Linked DNA regions of Rattus norvegicus. The protein of the gene in region 3 purifies or fractionates together with the protein of the main gene of each other region. This does not show direct contact. Links are inferred from orthologs where the notes say so. Each region holds a gene or a part of one and is shown on either strand. Other genes may lie near its edges. The genes, in order: Thoc1, Thoc7 and Ncbp3.

What was found.
Region 1: the proteins of Ncbp3 (region 3) and Thoc1 purify together in Homo sapiens (co-immunoprecipitation; 4 studies listed by BioGRID and IntAct, with this or other methods). This does not show direct contact. The link is inferred for Rattus norvegicus from reciprocal best matches to the Homo sapiens genes NCBP3 and THOC1.
Region 2: the proteins of Ncbp3 (region 3) and Thoc7 purify together in Homo sapiens (co-immunoprecipitation; 3 studies listed by BioGRID and IntAct, with this or other methods). This does not show direct contact. The link is inferred for Rattus norvegicus from reciprocal best matches to the Homo sapiens genes NCBP3 and THOC7.

Annotation. Positions count from the first base shown.
Region 1 is NC_086036.1:1,288,613-1,292,561, reverse strand, and holds the end of Thoc1 (THO complex subunit 1), read right to left. Parts: exon of another isoform or gene 3,027-3,949; intron 3,019-3,026; coding exon 2,871-3,018; intron 2,354-2,870; coding exon 2,278-2,353; intron 1,924-2,277; coding exon 1,628-1,923; 3' UTR 606-1,627; downstream 1-605. UniProt on the Homo sapiens protein: Component of the THO subcomplex of the TREX complex which is thought to couple mRNA transcription, processing and nuclear export, and which specifically associates with spliced mRNA and not with unspliced pre-mRNA.
Region 2 is NC_086033.1:13,702,855-13,706,770, reverse strand, and holds part of Thoc7 (THO complex subunit 7 homolog), read right to left. Parts: intron 3,744-3,916; coding exon 3,616-3,743; intron 3,358-3,615; coding exon 3,271-3,357; intron 1,895-3,270; coding exon 1,837-1,894; intron 1,006-1,836; coding exon 939-1,005; intron 850-938; coding exon 780-849; intron 1-779. UniProt on the Homo sapiens protein: Component of the THO subcomplex of the TREX complex which is thought to couple mRNA transcription, processing and nuclear export, and which specifically associates with spliced mRNA and not with unspliced pre-mRNA.
Region 3 is NC_086028.1:58,166,464-58,171,513, reverse strand, and holds part of Ncbp3 (nuclear cap-binding protein subunit 3), read right to left. Parts: intron 2,258-5,050; coding exon 2,152-2,257; intron 1-2,151. UniProt on the Homo sapiens protein: Associates with NCBP1/CBP80 to form an alternative cap-binding complex (CBC) which plays a key role in mRNA export. NCBP3 serves as adapter protein linking the capped RNAs (m7GpppG-capped RNA) to NCBP1/CBP80.

The DNA.
Region 1 (3,949 bases), on a different chromosome or scaffold from region 3:
TTTTAGTATTAGAGCTTGGCTGAAGAGTCAGATGAATTCAATACTATACAGTTTCTGCAAATAGCTAATAATCTAAGCAGTTAAACATCCATTTAAAATACAAGAAACTTTAGGTTGGCCAGTGTTATTTCAAAAGAAACACAAAGTTGTAAAAGTGATGAATTCCTTTGGACACTGAATTCTGTGATCAGTTTCATTACCTCACATACCTGTTGTTTATGTTTCAGGAACCTTAATTTCCTTAGCAATCTAAGGAAAGGACCAAATGTTGAATATTGTAGCAAGTTGGTCGATTTGAGTTGATTAATAATAAAATTTTGGGAATATTATGACATTTTGGACTATATGTTCTAATGCTCTGTAAAGTACCCAAGATTTTTATTAGATAATAACTCTGTAACACTGTGGGTAAGCCAGCATTTCAGGTTTGTAAAGTTTGCTAACTTACATGGAATGTGTACTGTAATGGTTTTACTCAGTCTCATTGGCTAGTTGGAGAAGGAAGTAACTTGGCACCTGTGTTTTCCCACTAAACCAGGTGAGGTGGGTTTACAACAAATACACCAAAACCATGTTTAGAGTGCACTGAGAATTAAAAACTATTATACAAAAAGCTTCTCGATAGTTTATTTGACCTAGAAAAGCATTCCAAAGAGAATTCTTTAAAGTAGAAATTGGATTTCCAGTGTTGTTTTAAATAAGGTGTTTAGTATTTTAGAATGCATCCTTGAATGTAAGAGAGAAGAGGCAAAAAATCCATTCTCCCTTTCAGTTCCTGAGCATGCCTTAATTTGCTTAGTGCAGAGGGTACCAGGAAGCTGGAGCTGTGCGCAGCCACTGCTTCCCCAGCTAGTGGAGTGTGCATGGTCCAGGCAAGGACACTTTTAACCTTCACCAGACACCAAACACCCACAGGAAATGTTGTATGGGAACAGAACATGAACCTTCAGCCAGCACCGCACATGCTCTGCTACATACAGTGTATTTTCACAAGTCAACTGACAGGAATCCCTGGGTGTTTAGAGACTTGAGGATGTCAAGTAATCTTTATAAAGCTAAAGGAGTAGTTGGGTCTTAGACTCCACTTCACATAAAGTTAGAGGCTAGCAAACATTTTCTGTATTGGCCAAACAGCAAATGGTTTGCAGGGCCCCTGGCTATCAGTCTGGACTCTTGCTGTAGTAGAGTAAACATGGCAGACTGCCAGTAAAACACTTAAACTATCCATCCTTTGCCAATCCTCTGCTTTCCAGCTTTCCAGTCCTAAGGTTTCAGAAGTGTCATCTTGTGATTTCAGAATACATTTTATAACTGATAGCATGCAGGAAACTAATTTGGGACAGGACTCTAACATACTCATAAATAGTACTCATTTAACTTCATTATAAAAATACTTACAAAAAGTCGTCTGTGATCTTGTGGTCCTTTTACTTTGGCCATTTTCCCACCCTGTCCTCCTATACTCCAATGCCTGTTCGGTATGTGGTTTTTTGAGCACCAGCTAACTGTACAACAGCTGTTATAAAAGTGTTTATTGTTTACCAAAACCAGTGAACCTTTTATCAAATGCTGCTTGGTAACAAAATCTTAATCACTGTTCAATAAAAAAGGAGAGAAAGAAAGAAAGCTAACTGTTTGTTTCAGTGTCATTAGTTAGACTTTCTGCAAGGTCACTTAACCCAGACTTGTTCAGTGCACCAATCAGGTTATCAGTTGTTGCGTGAACTCCTTCTTGATCTTGCCAGGCAACAAGGAGCTGTTTGGCTCTCATCTTCATGTCCTCACTGTCACATTCAATCTGCCTAATGTCAGAGTCTTTAATTTCCAGGTAAGGAGCCAAAATCTTCCACTGCTCACCAAGTTTGTTGGCAAATGACTCTATCTGTTCCCCTGTTAGAGGTTTATCTCGCCGAACATCAGGACCTAGAAAACAGGGGATATAAATTATGTGCAAAATATAGAGATGTGCATTTAAAATATCGGAAAGAACAGCAAAGCTAGAATTACCAGTGGGTTACTAATCCCCTAAAACTTTAAAACTTGAAAATTTCCATAGACTGTATACATCCTTTTAAAGCACCCATCTTCTTTGCCTTTTAAAATTATCATCTCCAAATTTCATTCTATAAAATGGACTTTAAGTGACCAATGTTTTTAACTTATTTTAAGTCAAAAGTAAGATAAAATGGTAGAACTGAGAAGTAAATCAAATTAAATAACAAAGATCCCCCAGTCTTTTCCAATTTTGTAAAACAGCCAAAAAAATTCAATTCTTACTTTCATTTTCCTTTAGTAAAGCATCATTATCTTCCTCATCTTCATCCTCACCTGTTTTTATTTCTTCAGAAGGGGGCTATAGTAAATGAAGAACAATGTTTAAAAGAACTTCAGTTTCTGAAGATAAAAGATCTTAGGTAGAAAGAGTGAGAAGCATGGGCAGGCAGGTTTGCAAACACCTAAGCTTTAAGGCAGTTCTGTCTAAGGGGTGACAGGGATTGACCATGTCCACCATTACCATACTGTAAGGAAACAGTGGGGAAGGCTCTGCCAGGTGACCTTCTGTTACTCTTAGATCCTGCTTTTGACAAAAGACAGTAAAACACTAGTAAAGAGGAAAATCTGATCTAGTTTACTGAAAATAGTAGTACTTTGGGTAAATTGCATACTGCACAGAAAATTACCGATATCTCTATGTTTTACTTTTTCTCTGTAAATTCAACAACATCCTTGCTCCCATTCTAAAACATGGGGGTCTGCAGACAACTAATTTTGTAGGAAAACCTAAACTGAATTCTGCTCAAATAATGATAATAGTTTTAAAGGAGATAATATCTAGTAAGGAAATGGGGAAAATGAAGTACATCACTTACTGGTAGTTCCTTGGCTAGCTTTATCACCATGTTTTCAAGATACTCTGGCAGACTCTTAAACTGCTGGTTAGTTGGCTGGAAGAAGTGAGGGCTTCTCCGGGCTAAGAGTCTGAGAGCTCTCCATCCATAATTTGAATTATTTACGGCTCTATAAGAAGAGATGTCAGCCTTGTAACCAGTTCCATAGTTATTTTCACACAATGAGTCACAAATTTATGTTCTATTGCAAATAACAGCAAAGTGTACCATCTTATAATTTGAAAGTCTATATAATATTTTGCTTTATTTTAGCAAGTCAATGTCCTGGCTGTTAGATAGACACTGTACAAAGAACCACTCATGCAGTTACACAGAAGCAAGGAGACAGTGAGAGAGACAACTGGTGAGCTGTCCCACATTGTATGGCACCAGAGGTGAGCTTCGGTTATTTCACACTCCTGTTTGACTCAAAGTCTAGTTTGTCTTATCTGCTGGAGTCTAAAATGTTCCAAATCTGGACAAACCTGAAAACACATATAGCTTCAAGTATTTTGAATAAGGAATCTGTGAAATGAGTGGTTATTATGTAGCAAATGAGAAACGGGGCACAGGGATCATTTGTTAGAACCAGATATCTGGCCAGTAAGTGGTACATGGGAGGGGAATCCTATGCATTCTGACAGGAGGGCCTCTGCCTTTAAATCACAACTCCAGAACACCTTCCTAAAAACTAAAACTGTGCTGTCACATGGGACACTTTAGATAAAAGACTGCCTCTTAGACGTTACCACAGGAATTTTGAGTAAGGCAGCAAGGTTAGTGTGAGCGGTTCTACCAATACTGAGACAGGTCTGCTAACAGATGCTGTTGGGAGCTTAAAAGGAAAAAAATACTGTGGGAGCTGTTGCAGTGGAGTGACAGGGAACACAGCCTCAATTAAGTAGATGGGATGAAAAGAAAGTGAGGTGGGTGAGGAAGGGAGGACAAAAACTAAACTGGTTAGCAGGGAGAGACAGTTGTAGAGAACAAACATTCATAAAGGTCAGGAGGAGGTATGGGATGAGGGATGATGAGAGTTCTTCAACTTCATCATGTTTGAG
Region 2 (3,916 bases), on a different chromosome or scaffold from region 3:
CATTGCAGATGGTTGTGAGCCACCATGTGGTTGCTAGGAATGGAACTCAGGACCTCTGGAAGTCAGTGCTCTTAGCGGCTGAGCCACCTCTCTAGCCTCCTTTGGTTTTAAAAACAGGTCAGGGCAAGGGCACATCATGCTCGGCCTAATGACTTAAGCTCGATCCTGGGAACCACATGGTGGAAGAAGAGAACTGACTTCTAGTGGCACAACAAGTAGCCTCCACATGCACAACATGGTTATGTGTGCAGCCCCGTACACACATGTGCACACACACAAATGTTATACATTTGGTTATTTTTACATATTACTAAGAATATATAATTTGTGTGATAGATTTCATTAAACACTAAAGAACTAAAATCTAAGTCGTAGCCTTAATTAAAAAAAAACAAAAACGATCAGAAAACACAGGAAGTTCTACTTGGTTACAGTCACAAGAAAGATCAAGTCTTCAATTTCTCGGTGGGCCCCCCATTTGCTGAGCATGTAGGCAGCCTAATATACCAACAACTTACAGTAGTTTGCACGTGTCCTGAATCATTAGTCAGGAAACACTCCCCATCACTCTTGAAGTTTTCTTATTAGTAGACATGCATGCAAAGCACAGATTACCACAGAATCACTGCTCTTCTGTTTGTATACAGAAAGTTGAACAGAGAGTGTTTTCTAATGCCATCCAGATATAGCACTGGATTCTGGAGGCAGACTCTCTCACCAAAGCACTCCCCAGTCATTTAAAGTCTTCTGAAGCTGCAATTTTGAATGGTTTTACTTACTCTCCAATGTCTGTTGAAGTTCATGGATGGTACTAAGAAGAACGTGAAATTGTTTCCGTCTCAATTCCAGCTGTGTTAAGAAGAAAACAACTTATATAAGTTTATCTCTAAACACACACACATACACACACGTAGAGGCTAACATATATATTCAAATACCTTATCTTCAACACTTTCTTTAATATGCGAGAGATGCTCTAATTCTTTGCCCAGAGCCTCTAGCTCCCTGAGGGAACAAAATAAAACAAAACAATGTTATATTTCGCTACTTTGGGGGAAAACTTATATAGTATTTGGGCCACTAAATAATAATCTGAAAATAAAAAGGGTTTTGAGAGATGGCTGGGCAGTTAAGAGCACTTGCTCCTGTTTCAGAAGACCCAGGTTCTATTCCTAGTTCACAAACAGTGGCTCACGACCGTGTCTGTAATTCTAGTCACAGAGATCTGATGCCCTCTTCTAGCTGCTACAGGCACCCGGTGTGCAAGTGGTACATAGATATGCATGCATAACATCCATAAAAAAGGAATCCAATAACCCTGTGGCAAGATTTTGTAACTGGATGATTTCTTAGCTCCTAAATTGTACTATAGATGCAAATTTTATAATAACAAAAATATAATTACATAATTTCTTTTAGATACACCTATTTGTATCTCTGAATAATATACAGTATTAGTATAGAATATTTGAGAGGGAATTTTTAACTTTCATAAATGTTTCAGAAATGGTTTAAAGTTCTTTTTTTTTTTACTGTTTGCATGTTTTTCAGCTGTTTTAGTGTGTAGCATAGTCTTTATTGGTATTCAGTATTCTGTTAATAGATTAAAGCGTACATCTCCATTTCCTTTGGGGACATACTACACATCTATTCTGAACCAATAGGTAGTGACCCTGGAGATAGCAAGGGCTTTCATCAGGCAGTGTAAGACCCTGTGATACTAAACAATGACCTTTCCTTTGGGTATACTCTGTTTATCTGAGCAGGTAGTTAGTGTGAGGCATAGCTCTTCACCATTTTGTATAACAGCCAGCTCCCTATAAGCTCTATACTCACTTCAGTGTCTCATGCCTGTCCGGATGATGCTGGATAACTTTGGCCAAAGCGTCATATTCTGAAAGACAAGAAAATATTTGCCAAATTAAGGCATTTTTTTTTGAATCTGGATTATCAAAAAGAAATGTGTAAATGAAAATAACTCTTATTCACTTTCTTAAAGAAATGACAATAATGTGGTAGTACATATCTTTGATCCCTGCACTTGGGAGGCAGAGGCAGAAACCAAGGCCAGTAGATCCCTTTTTACTCCAGGCTAGCCTGGTATAAATAGCAAGTTCCAGGACAGCTGGGGCTATTACACAGAGAAATCCGTCTTGAATAAGACCAAAACCAAACCAAACCAAAGGGGCTGGGGATTTAGCTCAGTGGTAGAGCGCTTACCTAGGAAGCACAAGGCCCTGGGTTCGGTCCCCAGCTCCGGAAAAAAAAAAAAAAAAAAAAAGAACCAAACCAAAACAAAACAAACAAACAAAAAAAAAAAAAAAAAACCAAGAAAAGGCCAAGAATTATGAGAGCACTGCCAACACTTTAAACATTGCTTTTATCTTACCTTTTCCAATTTATGTAATGGGAAGAGCCTAGTATTAAAAATAATTTCCAGGGCTAGAGAAATGGCTCAGCACTTAAGAGCATATACTAATGTTTCACAGAACCCCAATTCAGTCTCCAGCACTCATGTAGTTTACAGTTGCCTTAACTCCAGGGATAACAGGGCCAATTATGGCCTCCGTGGGCACCTACACTCAGCTGTATACAGACACACATATAAAACTAAAGTTCTTTCAGATAGCCAGATAGGACACCAAGTGAAGGATAACCTAAGAGATTAGAATAAGACTAAACGTTACTTCTGTGTTTAAAGTGTTTACACTTATTTTATTTTTGAATACCTATGGGTGTGGGAGGGCGATGGCACAAGGGACTCACTCCTCTCCTACCATGTAGGTCCTAGGCTGGTGGGCGGCAGGCTTGGTGGCAAGGGCTCCACCCACTGGGCCACCTGGCTGACCTTGACTTTAACTTTGCTATTAGGGAATTATGTGGATAACGCTTGTTTGCTTTATGAATAATGAAGGGTTAAAATTCTTTTCCTTTTTCTTGAAAGTAGCTTTATTAAACTAGCAAATAAATACCTCAGTCTGTCATAGAGTTCACATTTGCAGACTAACTGTACTACTGCTTAGGGAAAAGGATCTGAAGATAGTAAAAAATACTGAAGATTTCTTGGATAAATAATAAAACTCAGCAAAATATTTTTCAGCATATCTTGTGTTCTCTATTTTAAGTAACAGTGTTAAGAATAAGTGTAATTGTTAATTATTTTTTTGTAAACTGATTCACGGTGCAGATTTTGCCTTTCAATATTAAAAATTTCATGGAACCTGAAGTTAGGAATAAAATATCTGCAACCCAAGTCCTTCAAATCCTTACCTTGTCGATTTTTTCGTATTCGTTTTGCCTGAAGAATCTGCTTTTTACACTCAGCAATTTTTTCATGTGCTCCAGCAATACTGCATTCTATTAAAAAACGGTAGTTATAATAAGACGTATAATGTCTGCTTTTAAGTAGACATTCCACTGACAACACAACAGACGATGACATTCTAAAAATATCTACAACACAAAGTGCTGTCTTACTACATGACACTGTGGCTGTAGATGGTAGATTCTTTACCACTGTAATTACTGACAGTATCTTACTACAATCTACATACTGCTATCAGCTTTTCCTTTAAACTGCAAAAATACAATTCTAGAAAGAAGCACTATGTTTACCTATTTCTTTGTATATTTTTTCATAGTTTTCCATTTCTCTGAGGTTCATATCATACACCAGCAGCGTTTTGCCCATTGAGAACTCACACTGAGACAGCGTGCTCAGCATCCGCTGGTACTGGCTGTATCTAACGAGAGAGAGAAAGAGAAGAAAAAGAAATCGTAAACTAAACAAAGTTCTGACCGAATTATTTAACTGAAATAGCTTAGAATATCCACCCTTACCATTTTCTTTGCTAGACATGGTGTACGTGAATTTATAAGTTATTCTGGTTACAAAGGCAGAATGAGACTACTGTCC
Region 3 (5,050 bases):
GACATGAGGACAAAAGCTAGTTAGCAATCTGCTTAGACATTCAAAAGTAGCTAACTAACCCCTTTTGATGCATAATAGATGTAGCCTGTGTCAAGTTGTGTCCCTGAATGCTAGCAAAATAAAAACACAGGCTTCCAGTCAGTCCAGCCTTCAAGTCCAGCTCTGCTATATACCTGGCTATGGAACCTCAGGCAAATTTCTCACTCTCTGAGCACTTGGATTTTCTCATCAGTAAAATCCCTCAGGGGATCCCTAAGGGACAAATTAGCCACATAACAGAGCAACTGTAACTCAGTAAGCATTTAACAAGTGTTATTATTGTTGGTATTAATAAGAAAATGAATCAGTTGACACCTAATGTAGCTGTGGGTATGAAGAGACCTATTTCAACTTCCCTCTCTAAGTGGAAGGCTGGTCTGCTCAGGCGACTACTTAGAAGAATACCAGAAAACTAACATCTACTGGGTGCCTACTATGTGCGAAACACCAATCTAAGAGCTGCAACATTTCGTCAGACTCCTGACAGTTCTGTCTAATTTTGTCCAAGGTTACAGAGCTACAAAAAGAATTTGAATCCAGGAAAGTGGGCTTCAGAACCTTTGCTCAAAACCAATGGTTCCAAATCCTGTCCAATCCTGACTCCACATTAAATTACCCAGGAGTTACAAAAACAATAGTTACCTCTAGGGCTTATCCAACCCCATCTTCCCACGATTCTACCTTAAGTTCATCTGGGTGAGTAGCAGTGATTCAGGAGCATTGGTTAGGCCATCTTCCTAAGTCTTGTTTTCAGGCTGCACTATAGAATGAGCAATATTCCCCAACTGATGTCCAGGCAAACCTCCTGCTTTTTAAATGAAATACCTGCATAGCTGAGTATGGTGGCACACACCAATAAACTCAGAACTTAGGAGTCAGAGGCAGGAGGATCAGAGTTCATGATTAGCCTGGGCTACATGAGATTCTACCTAAATCAAAGACTTGGCAGAAACGTAAGATTTTGATTGCTTTCTATAAGCAATTGTTGACTAAAATCACACACAATAAAACAATGTTTTTAAAGTAAGGTTTAAGTCTTTAAAGTGAGACAGATATAGGTTAGACTCCTGAGTCTTTCATTAGCTCTGAGTAACTAATTAAACTTCTATAACCTGTTTCTTCCTTTGTAAAATAATTATTAAAAAATATACTCCTCAGAGGCTTGCGGTGAAAAACAAACATGTGCTTAACACAGTGCCGTAGGAAAGCACGTCCCTAGCAGACAGTAGCCATTTCCCCCATCCTGCAGGCTCAGGAGCTTCTGCTTTCATTGCCCAAGCATGACTAAGAGACTCACACAGCCCCGCCCCACAGGGCTTCCACATGCAGCAAGAAGGCTGCCTCCTGAGCCCTTTATAAACACCAGTATTTATAAGTACAACAGAGAGAGGCCTTTCGTATTCATGGATCTAGATAAGGCAATGAGAAGGATGTAGGCTCACTCAATCAAAGGCTCCCTTCTTCAAAAGTTGCTTTGCTAGTGAGTGTCATGGTGCACTCCTGAATTTTAGAACTTGGGAGGTAGAAGCAAGATCATCTTCAGTTTGAAATCAGTCTGGGCTACATGAGACACTGCCTCAAGCAAGCAAACAGAAAATTAGTAATTGGGCTGGGGATGTGGTGGCTTGACTTGATTAGCTTGAGTAAGTCTCAGAGTTACACCCAGCTGCACAAATAAACAAAAAACCCACCACTATCACTGCCTTGCTGTGAGTTGTAGGGAGTATTTTCTCTTTGAAAATAACTAATGGGAGGTTTATATGTACCATGTATCATTACCAACAAAAATCCCAGCTGCTCCAAGTGCCCTAAAAGACAGGTTCACAGTGAGACATGCACTTCCACTATTCTTCAAGGCAAAGAGAAGCTAACTAACATCACTATGATGAAAGCAGATGAGGAGGTCCAGAGGCAAGGATGCACATCTCACCTCTGACACAAGCCTCCCTAACAACTTCTTCTGTTCCACTGTTCTAGCTCTGAGAAAATCTGACAGCACCTCACCTTAACGCTTCTTCTTGGGTATTTTGAATGATGACTGGACACACAGAACAAAGCCAGAAACATGAAACGAAGGCACTCTTGGAACAGGATGAAAACATTTCACCTTACCTTTCTTCATCATGTCTCTGTCCAAGGCTACATTCCTCTGGGCAAGATTTACTTCTGCTCGAAAGTGGAAGCGTTTGGCTCGCTGTTCTTTCTTTTCAATTGCTTCCTAGAAAGTACAAAAAGAGGCAAAGAGATAAAGGGAGAATGAGGAAAGTTAAATCACAAACATGCTGCAACTTTCAAATAAATCAGAATAAATAAGTAACCTTGAATGTGTTTTGCAGAGAACTGGACATACGCAGTCTACAGTAAACCGGCTGAAATAGTCTCAATCCTATCACAGCCCATGACTGCACCCAGAACACAGGAGGTGGTCAAGAAGTCAGTGAGCACTGGTTTATAAAGTTTTCTGATATTTCATATACCACCGACAATCACACTAAGAAGTTAAAACAAATAACCTAACCTTTTCAATTTTCTTAGTGTAGAAATGGAGACAAAAGAAACTGGAAGGTTTGCAGGAAATATCTCCTCTAGCTAAGGGCAGAGCTGATCCAGTGCTATTTCTAGGAGCTCCACAACTACCATTATCATTTACATTGTCTGTGGGCATGGTAATCACACCTATTATGCTCTTCCACATTATGGATGCCTGAATGGTCCACTCCCTATAGCCACACCCCCATATAAAAATAACACCAGAGCAAAAATAGTCTCCTTTATTCCCGCCTTATGTGTATGAAATTGCCTCTTTTCATTCCTAAGTGACAAGGATGCATTAACACTGACAAAAAAAGAAAAAAAAATTCAGCTTTGTAAATTTCTTCCAAAAGTGAAAATAAATTCATGTCCAACTATGATCTTCTGATGGCTCTCAACAGCCCCTCAGCAACTGCGTACTGACTGAAGGTTTGACTAAAACCAGTTTATGGGTGTGAGGAAGCAGCCATGCTTCAGTTCTTTCCCAACAGTTATGCTCATCTGTGTCCCTGAAGTCTTCCTAGCATGAACCACAATCTCCTTTCCCAGCTTTTGTGTGTGTGCTTAGTGTGTGGGTAGGAATGTATGTGTGCATTTGAGGGTGGGGGAGCAGGTTGTCCTTAGTGCTGAGATTACAGGTGCAAACTTCTATGCATTTTGTTTTGCTTTGCTTTCACACGAGTGCTAGGGACCTGAACTCAGTTCTTATGCTTACACAGCAAGCACTTCACTGAGTCAGTAAATCTCCTAGCCAAATCCTTTTCCCGGGTACCTGTTTCAAGTATTAGGTTGAAAGCAGTCTACTTCTCCCCCCCCCAACCCCCCGGAGTTGGGGACGGAACCCAGGGCCTTGCGCTTGCTAGGCAAGCGCTCTACCACTGAGCTAAATCCCCAACCCTCAGCAGTCTACTTCTTAATGACACTGAGAACATTTCACTTTGTACTATTCTCTATTCCACTAGAAGATGTTCAGCTCTTTCTTCTGGCCTTTAAGTATCTGACACAAACTGAGAGGGAGAAATTATAAAAAGCCAAGTATAACATACTTACTTTTATTCTTGTTTTTAAAGATCTAATATATATATATTATCATTATATATATATATATATATTTTACATTTTAAATTGGGCCTGGAGAGATGGCTCAGCACTTAAAAGCACACGGGCTCTTACAGAGGACCAGGGTTCAGTTTCCAGCACCCACATGGTGTAGCTCACAACTGTCTGTAACTCCAGTTCCAGGGGATCTGATGCCCTCTTCTGACCTCCATAGGCACCAGGCAGGCACATGGTGCACATAACACACAGAGGCAAACACTGATATATACACAGAATAAAAAGTACAATTGAAATGGAAAATTCTGTTTTAAACTGAACAGCACACATTTAAATCATGAAGAAAGAAAAAGTCTGAATGAACTGAATTAAAGCAACGTATGGACAATTTATCACATGGGAACTAAGAGGCTTCACTCTGAGGTATGATAATGGAGGTGGTACAATGGTAACGCAATCACTTAGCAAAAGACAATATTGTCAGATGCTGGGGATAATCAGTCGGCATGGCCCTCAAAGCTTAGACATGCAGACAACTTCTAACCATTTTTCTAAGTTGGAAAGCAGTGTTTCCACAGATATACATTAATGGCTTTAAGCATCCCCGAGGCCAGGGGCATAGCATGACTGTGGTTGTGCTTGCCAGGTAAGCCTAACAACCTGAATGAGATTCCCAGTACCATGTAAAAGTCCGACCCTGCAGCATTTGTCTGTAATTTCTACATTCTTAGAGACAGGAGACAGAGATGAGAGAACACCTCAAAAACAAGGTAGGAGGGGGAATGGAGAGATAGTTCAGCAGTTACAATCACTGTCTGTTCTTACAGAGATCCAGGTTTGGTTCCCAATACCCACAGGGCAGCTCCCAACTATCTGAAACTCCAGTCCAAACGGATCTGAAGTCCTCTCCTGAGCTCCTCACATCCTAGTTCTGAATGTGGTACACTTAATACATACAGGCAAATGCTCATACACAAATTTAAAAATATTATCAATAATACTACTACCAGCAAAAAAAAAAAAAAGTCAGATGTAGTGGCATATGCTTTTGATCCTAGCACCTGAAATGCACAGGCAGGTGTACCTCTGTGGGTTTGAGACCAGCCTGGTCTACATAGTGAGTTCCAGGACAGCCAAGGCTATGCAGAGAGATCTTGCCTCAAATAAAACAAAAACAAAAAACAAACAAACAAAAAAGATGATAGGTAAGAACCAACACCTGATGTTGTTCTCTGACTTCACATGTGTTACAGCATGCACACTTTGACACAAAACACACACATCCATCCTACATAACAAGTGAATGTTAAATAATAAATATTAAAATAAGCATTCCCAGTGCAAACTCTTTCTTGGAAATGGTTAGCACAGACAACTAAGTTCAGTGATTATCTTTTCATGGATATGTGCACACACAAATGCT